Linked DNA regions of Arabidopsis thaliana. The protein of the gene in region 1 purifies or fractionates together with the protein of each later gene. This does not show direct contact. Each region holds a gene or a part of one and is shown on either strand. Other genes may lie near its edges.

Evidence for each region.
Region 2: the proteins of PGK (region 1) and MDAR6 fractionate together in Arabidopsis thaliana (co-fractionation; one large-scale study listed by BioGRID). This does not show direct contact.

The regions. Positions count from the first base shown.
Region 1 is NC_003070.9:29,924,959-29,928,710, reverse strand, and holds the start of PGK (phosphoglycerate kinase), read left to right. Parts: upstream 1-2,074; 5' UTR 2,075-2,249; exon of another isoform or gene 2,250-2,384; 5' UTR 2,385-2,415; coding exon 2,416-2,610; intron 2,611-2,910; coding exon 2,911-2,988; intron 2,989-3,076; coding exon 3,077-3,337; intron 3,338-3,425; coding exon 3,426-3,743; intron 3,744-3,752. Other genes in the region: FTSH12 (FTSH protease 12), read right to left, coding at 1-243, 460-686, 893-1,077, 1,307-1,735.
Region 2 is NC_003070.9:23,728,052-23,731,803, forward strand, and holds the start of MDAR6 (monodehydroascorbate reductase 6), read left to right. Parts: upstream 1-1,823; 5' UTR 1,824-2,043; coding exon 2,044-2,053; exon of another isoform or gene 2,054-2,143; coding exon 2,144-2,318; intron 2,319-2,395; coding exon 2,396-2,495; intron 2,496-2,587; coding exon 2,588-2,665; intron 2,666-2,864; coding exon 2,865-2,936; intron 2,937-3,086; coding exon 3,087-3,205; intron 3,206-3,319; coding exon 3,320-3,404; intron 3,405-3,525; coding exon 3,526-3,615; intron 3,616-3,752. Other genes in the region: ROH1 (uncharacterized protein), read left to right, coding at 1-1,123. UniProt on the Arabidopsis thaliana protein: Catalyzes the conversion of monodehydroascorbate (MDA) to ascorbate, oxidizing NADH in the process.

The sequences.
Region 1 (3,752 bases):
AGGGAAGCTTAGGGCGATATCGCCACCATCTCTTTGATATCCAGAGAGCTCTAGTTCCCTCAGTTTCAGATGTCCTTCCAATAACATCTTCGCGAAGACTTTTCTCTACCTCTTTCATATCAAATTCAACCACATACTTCGCCGCTGAGGAGTTTAACTGTTCTGATAATTTTTCTCGTTCTAACATTTCCTTCCAGGTTGCAAGCCTTTCCCGCCAATTACCTACACTGTCTCCAATTTCACCTATCATAGAAGAATGCAATAGAGGATTAGATGGTCAAAAGCACAGGTTACCAATGATAGTAGATGAGGGATCTAGAAGTGCTGCTCTGAAAGAAACTTGATTAGTGAGATAAGATTAGGTCGTCAAAAACAAAGGTTTCGCACAATAAATCACTTCTTGTTATATCTTCAGCATGCCACTACTAAACAAGTATCACCTAACGAATGTATACTGACCAGAGACACCCAGATCTTGGCTTAGTTTCTTCTTTGCCTCTGTCTGAATCCTAGCATTTCTACCAATTATTTTCTTGAGAGATCCCTCTGTGGTCTCTAGATCGTCATCCCACGCATTTTCTCCAACATAAGAACTATCGTGGACAAGTGTTCCATCAGGCGCTTCAATGAACCTTTTTAATTTCAAGCCTTTAGGTGTTGCTTTCCTCCACATATTTCTCTTGAACCTGAAACACTAGAATAAGTCAGGACATTCTACAAAATCAAATAAACAGAAGTTCTTTTAGTCTTCCCACTCTTGACGCTTTAGATGCCTCATTAGCTGAGTATTTACTTGTTAAAGGATGATACCATAGTTTGAATATGAACCATATTTTACCATGTCCCAGTAGAGAAAATTACAATCGGAAACTGAGGATTAGGAAGCACCTACTTTTCTATATTTCCAGGAGATGGCTCGGGGATCAAAGCCTCCATAAAAGACTCTGTTAACTCTCTTCTCTCTCGTTCTACCCGAGGAGCTTGGATGGCAACATAAACTCTTTGACAAGAAAGTAACAGCGCAAAAGCATATATGAACAAGGCAGCAACTCGTTTACCGTCCCAATTCCTGATGTCCTGATACAATACATCTTCCCTCATTAAGAAACAACCTAATACACTAGTATATGTCGCTAGAATAAGCGTAGTTGTAGTCTCCTCCAAAATTTATGCTTCCGTTAAATCAACAACAAAATAAATAAATACCATACGTTTGTCCCTCAATGTTTTAGAACACAAGCAGAAGTCTAACAATACTTGAGAATCAGAAATTTGATAATTACGTTAAAAAGCTGAACCAGCTTACCTTCCAATGCTCCCACTTGTTCCAATCAATAAACGAAGGCACTGTCTCATTCTTAAAGCGAGTCAGCTCGTGATGGCCCTTGTGCACACTATCCTTAACTCGAGCCACATACTCATTCACTCTCCCACTTGCTTCTTCCGAGTCAAACCCAATTTCTGTCTTCACAGATTCTCCAATCTTCTCCCCAATCCGCTCGGCACCAAGGCGAATAGACTGAGCCAATCTCACCCACGAAAAGCCTCCATCGCTATTAGATGAAGACCCACTACTACTTTCAGACGCATAGACTCGAAAGAGCTGTTTTTTCCGGGTAGCTCCCAGTCCATACTTGGCGGGAAACCGAACAAGACCAAAACTTTTTGATCTTTTCAACAACTGAGTCGATGAAGAGATAAGCGGATTCGGTTTATACGAAATTGCAATCTCCATGAATGAAATCACAAGAAAAAAATTAAAAAGAGAACAAAACCAGACGCATTTGAAGATTTTTCCCGATTAAAGAGCTCTCTCTGAGAAAATTACTGAAGGAAAATGGTGAGTACCAACCATTCAGCTCACTCGACTCTCCGGCAAGACTTACGCTTCTCTCCGGTAAGGAGGTTTATCTACACTGATCCGTCGTTGAGAGTGTCCTAATACTTCGAAGGAGAAAGATGACGCTTAAACTCAAAGAGGCTCGAAGCCTATTAGTTATATAATTGGGCTAGCCCATTAAGGTCCATCAGCCCACTATCCGAAAAATAATATATTTAAACCGTGGAATCCAAGGAGAGACACAGTGGCAAAAAGGGTAATTATAGGGACATTTCTTGGGGTGTTGTCCAAGCTGCTTTTATATAAGGAAGGGATATTGTTCTCTCGCTTCTCGAAAGATCCATTCACCAACTCTTTATACCAGCCTCTGTAACGTTCGATCATCTTGTATTTCATTTCAACCACTCATGTAAGTATATTCTTTCTTCAGATTCCGATTGTTTTCTTCGATTAAGTTTTGAGCTAGATTCTCTAGATCTGTTTCACCGATTTGGTTGATTTCTCCGTCAATCTGAACTCGCGGTGTGCATCTTGTTGTTTGCAGTGTTTTTAGTTTGTTTTACGAAGAATCAACTATGGCGACGAAGAGAAGCGTTGGAACTTTGAAGGAAGCGGATCTGAAGGGAAAGAGTGTGTTCGTGAGGGTTGATCTCAACGTTCCTTTGGATGATAACTCTAACATCACCGATGACACCAGGATTCGTGCCGCTGTTCCCACCATCAAGTACTTGATGGGTAATGGATCTAGGGTTGTTCTCTGCAGTCACTTGGTATGATATCTTATCTCAGTTCTCACTTCACTACTTGCTTATCTGTTGTAATTTTGGTGTGGGAATTTTGATCTGATCTGTTTATCCGGAGAGCCATGCGTATAAGAAGAGTCTCTTTGCATGTTAGGATGTAGATATAGTATTCTTGTTTTTCAATATGTTCATTGACTCTATCGGTTGATTTTCTGGTGTTGTTTGGGTAATTGTTTTAGTAAGTTTACTTGGATATGTTTATACTCAAGTTCAATTGGATGATGCTGTTGAATTAATGGATGTATCTGATCTCAATTTATGTTTCAGGGCCGCCCAAAAGGTGTTACTCCTAAGTACAGCTTAAAGCCTCTTGTGCCCAGATTGTCTGAACTTCTTGGTGTTGAGGTTTGTTCCTCTTCCTCTTCTAGACTTGCAAGGTTTCTGAACATTAGCTTTTAAAAGAACACTGTTCTCACTCTGTTTGTGTTAATAGGTTGTAATGGCAAATGACTCTATTGGTGAGGAAGTCCAGAAGTTGGTTGCAGGACTACCTGAAGGTGGTGTTTTGCTCTTGGAGAATGTGAGGTTCTACGCCGAGGAAGAGAAGAATGATCCTGAATTTGCAAAGAAGCTTGCTGCTCTTGCCGATGTTTACGTTAATGATGCCTTCGGAACTGCTCACAGAGCTCATGCTTCCACTGAGGGAGTTGCCAAATTCTTGAAGCCTTCAGTTGCTGGTTTCCTCATGCAGAAGGTATTTAAAATTTGCAGCATAAAGAGTATCTTCTTAGATGAGTCTCTTTATTTTACTGATCAGACTATTACTTGTTTTATTGTGTCAGGAACTTGATTACCTTGTCGGAGCTGTGGCAAACCCCAAGAAGCCTTTTGCTGCCATTGTTGGAGGCTCAAAGGTTTCAACAAAGATTGGTGTCATTGAGTCTCTCTTGAACACAGTTGACATCCTCCTGCTCGGTGGAGGTATGATTTTTACTTTCTACAAGGCACAAGGACTCTCAGTCGGATCTTCCCTTGTGGAGGAGGACAAGCTTGACTTGGCAAAGTCACTCATGGAGAAAGCAAAGGCCAAAGGTGTCTCTCTCTTGCTCCCAACCGATGTGGTTATTGCTGACAAGTTTGCTCCCGATGCTAACAGCAAGGTAACTATC
Region 2 (3,752 bases), 6.2 Mb from region 1:
CGATCGTTTCACCGAGCTTCTTTCTCCTCCTCAACCACCACCGTCAGATGAAATTAACACGGTAGCTTCCGTAGCCGCGACGGAGCAGATTATGTCCGTGACTTGGCTTCGTAAGCTGATGGATGTTTTCCTCTGTTGCGAAGCTGAATTCAAAGCGATTTTGTTAATGGGTCGTGACCCGACCCAGATTTCTAAGCCGCCTTTTGACCGGTTAGTTCCTGAAATGTTAGACCGGTCGATTAAAGCGCTTGACATTTGTACCGCCGTTGTTAACGGTATCGATTCCGTTAGACATTACCAGCGTTTAGCTGAGATTGCTGTGACGGCTTTGGAGCAACGTCCGTTAGGTGACGGTAACGTGAGGAGAGCTAAACGCGCGTTGGCGAATCTCGTCGTCGCGTTGAGTCTCGAGGATAAAGAGAATGTTAGCGGCGGAGGTGGTGGCGGCGGCGGAGGGAATAAGACGACGGAGAGATCGTGGTCGTTTGGTCGTCGAAGCGGTGGATCATCGGCGGCGAGTAAAGGAGGAGCAACGATTGGTCAGCTCAAATCGTCGTCGTGGGCGGTTGGGAGAAATTGGTCGGCGGCGAAGCAGATCCACGCAATGACAGCGAATCTTACGCCGCCACGTGGTAACGAAGCGGCGGGATTGCCTCAACCAATGTTTATAATGAGTACGGTGATGGTTTTCGTAATGTGGGTGCTAACGGCGGCGGTTCCGTGTCAGGAGAGATCAGGATTAGCGAATCATTTACCAGTGCCGCCGAAACATTTGAATTGGGCTCAGAGTTTGATCGGAATCCATGAGAAAATCGGAGATGAGTGGAAGAAGAAAGAGAAGAAAGGATCTGCTGGATTGATGGAGGAGATGACGAGGATGGAGAAGCTAGGTCACTCGTTGATGGAATTCGCAGATGGATTTCATTATCCGGCGGAGAAAGATGCTGCTGAATCTGCGGCGGTGCAAGTGGCGGAGATGGCGGAGATATGCAGGAGAATGGAGGAGGAGCTTGTGCCGTTACAGCAACAGATCAGAGAAGTTTTTCATAGGATCGTGAGGAGTCGTGCGGAGATTCTCGAGGTGTTGGAGCAAGCCGGGAAAGTTTCGGCGCCAGTTGTGTAAAAGTTTTGAATTATTGGGAATCAATTTCGAAGTTTTGTAATTCTTTGGGGGCTAATAGGATATTTTATTTTCTTGGTTTCGTCTATTGTTGTTTTTCTATTTATGGTTGGGCTTTTAGAACTCTGGACAGGCCCATGTCATATGTTTTCCCTTCTCCTTATATTTTTCATTTTTCATTTTGTTAAATTAATGCATAATATCCAAAAACAATTTAAATTTTTGAAGGAACCCTTTAGTTACGGCTCCGAAGCTTTCACAAGTGAGAATGTGAGATCAAAGAAGGCAAATGGAGGATTTTAAAAGTTAAAATCATCTTTTATCTGCAAAAGTTGACAATTTTTTTGTATCAAATCTAAATCATCAAACTCTCTTAAACTACAAGAGCATAACAACCTCTATGTAATCCATGAAATAATCTGCTTGAAGGACATAACATAAATCATTATGGCTAGAGTGACTAACTTCAATCAAATCCTCTTAACTCTAGCTCCCTTACAATGGTATCGTAAAACATTATGCATTAGGGATTGTTGTCCTAGGAAAATAAAATAAAAATCCCCACAGACCAACTACCATTTTAACTTAAAAATAAGCTTCGTCCGCGACGAATTGTTTTCCATCCTAAAAATAGAATGGTGTAATCTGCTAATGGTTTAGTTCCATTAACTTGCAAGTTCTATTGAAAGCCTAAATGTCAATAAAGATATTAAAATTCGGAGTCAAAAGACAAATGAATCAAAAGCAACAAGACAAGTCAGCTCCATTCTTCACTACCCATCTTTTACAATAAATCATCTCTCTTTTCACAAATTTCAAACTACTCTCATTGCCCTTTAGCTTTGTTATAGAGCCAACACTACAGAGAGACTCACACACTTGTTTCAATAATTAAATCTGAATTTGGCTCTTCTTATAAACTAATGTCTGCAGGTCTTCTTATCTCTCTCACTCACCACCATCTTCTTCCTCGATTGTCAAAACCCTAGATCGAAATCTTATCTCTCTAATCTGTTGTTACAGTTCGTAGAGTCATGGCGTTAGCATCAACCACGTTGCCGACGAAGTCCGGATTATCTCTTTGGTGTCCGTCTTCTCCGTCTCTCGCTCGCCGATTTCCCGCTCGTTTTTCTCCGATCGGTTCTAGAATCGCTTCCAGAAGCCTCGTCACTGCTTCGTTCGCTAACGAGAATCGCGAGTTCGTATATATAATTCTTCCAATTTTGATTCTGGCGTTGATGAATTTCTATGCGATTGATTGTGTGATTGTGTTAGGTTTGTGATTGTTGGTGGAGGAAATGCTGCTGGTTATGCTGCTAGAACTTTTGTGGAAAATGGAATGGCTGATGGTCGGCTATGCATTGTGACCAAAGAGGTGATTCAAATCGATCCCTTAGTGTTTTCTTCATCAGTAACACTATTGGTTTTACTTTGTTTGATTGTTGGATTTGTGGTTGTTATTGTTAGGCTTACGCACCTTATGAGAGACCGGCTTTGACAAAAGCTTACTTGTTCCCACCAGAGAAGAAGCCAGCTCGTTTACCAGTAAGCTTTGCCAACTTTAATGTTTTGATTCGATCAATTTGAGTGGTTCTTTTAGTGCTATTGCTCTTAATTGGCTACATGAACATTATGGAATGAGTACCGGTAGATTGTTTACAGTGTTACGATTGTTACTGATATGAAGATTTGTATGATTTAGTTTTGTGATCTCTGTTTATATTGAGGGTGGTCGTATATGCAGGGATTTCATACTTGCGTTGGAGGTGGTGGAGAAAGGCAAACACCAGATTGGTATAAGGAGAAAGGAATTGAGGTAATTCATCTTCTGATACATAGTTTTGTTTTCTAAAATATATGAATGTAAGTGAAGTGTCTTTGGTTTGATTAACTGTACAGCTTGGAATGTACGTCGGTGAATTTGTGGTCTTCTCTTGTGTCTTACTAATGCATTTTGTTTGGACAGGTAATATATGAAGATCCAGTGGCTGGAGCTGATTTTGAAAAGCAAACACTCACCACAGACGCAGGGAAGCAGTTAAAATATGGATCTCTAATTATCGCTACAGGGTGTACAGCCTCAAGGTGAGTGAAAGTCGCATTTTTTTTGCAATGATTGATAAACAACATCAGAGAACCTAGGCCTTTTCAACCATGTATACTGATATTATGAATATTTGCTCTGGATTTTTATTGTAGGTTCCCAGATAAAATCGGTGGGCACTTGCCAGGGGTTCACTATATTCGGGAGGTTGCAGATGCTGATTCACTGATAGCATCTCTGGTAAGCTAAGGGCATTTTTACCAGTTACCAGTTTTGTCATCTTAATGCAATGTTGTAATATGCGTCATCAGAAAAATCCAAATTTCCTGGCTACAAAATAACCTTCCAATATGTGATACAGGGAAAGGCAAAGAAAATTGTCATTGTTGGTGGTGGCTACATCGGCATGGAGGTTGCTGCTGCAGCTGTTGCGTGGAATCTAGATACAACGGTTATTATCCCTTTCACTTGAATTTTTAAATTGTGCTAGAAATGAAGAATACTTCTAATCATTCGATGAGTTAAACAAATTCCTAGAAACGTTCAGATAAATTGTGGAACAGATGTACTAACTTACAGTTGCTTTTG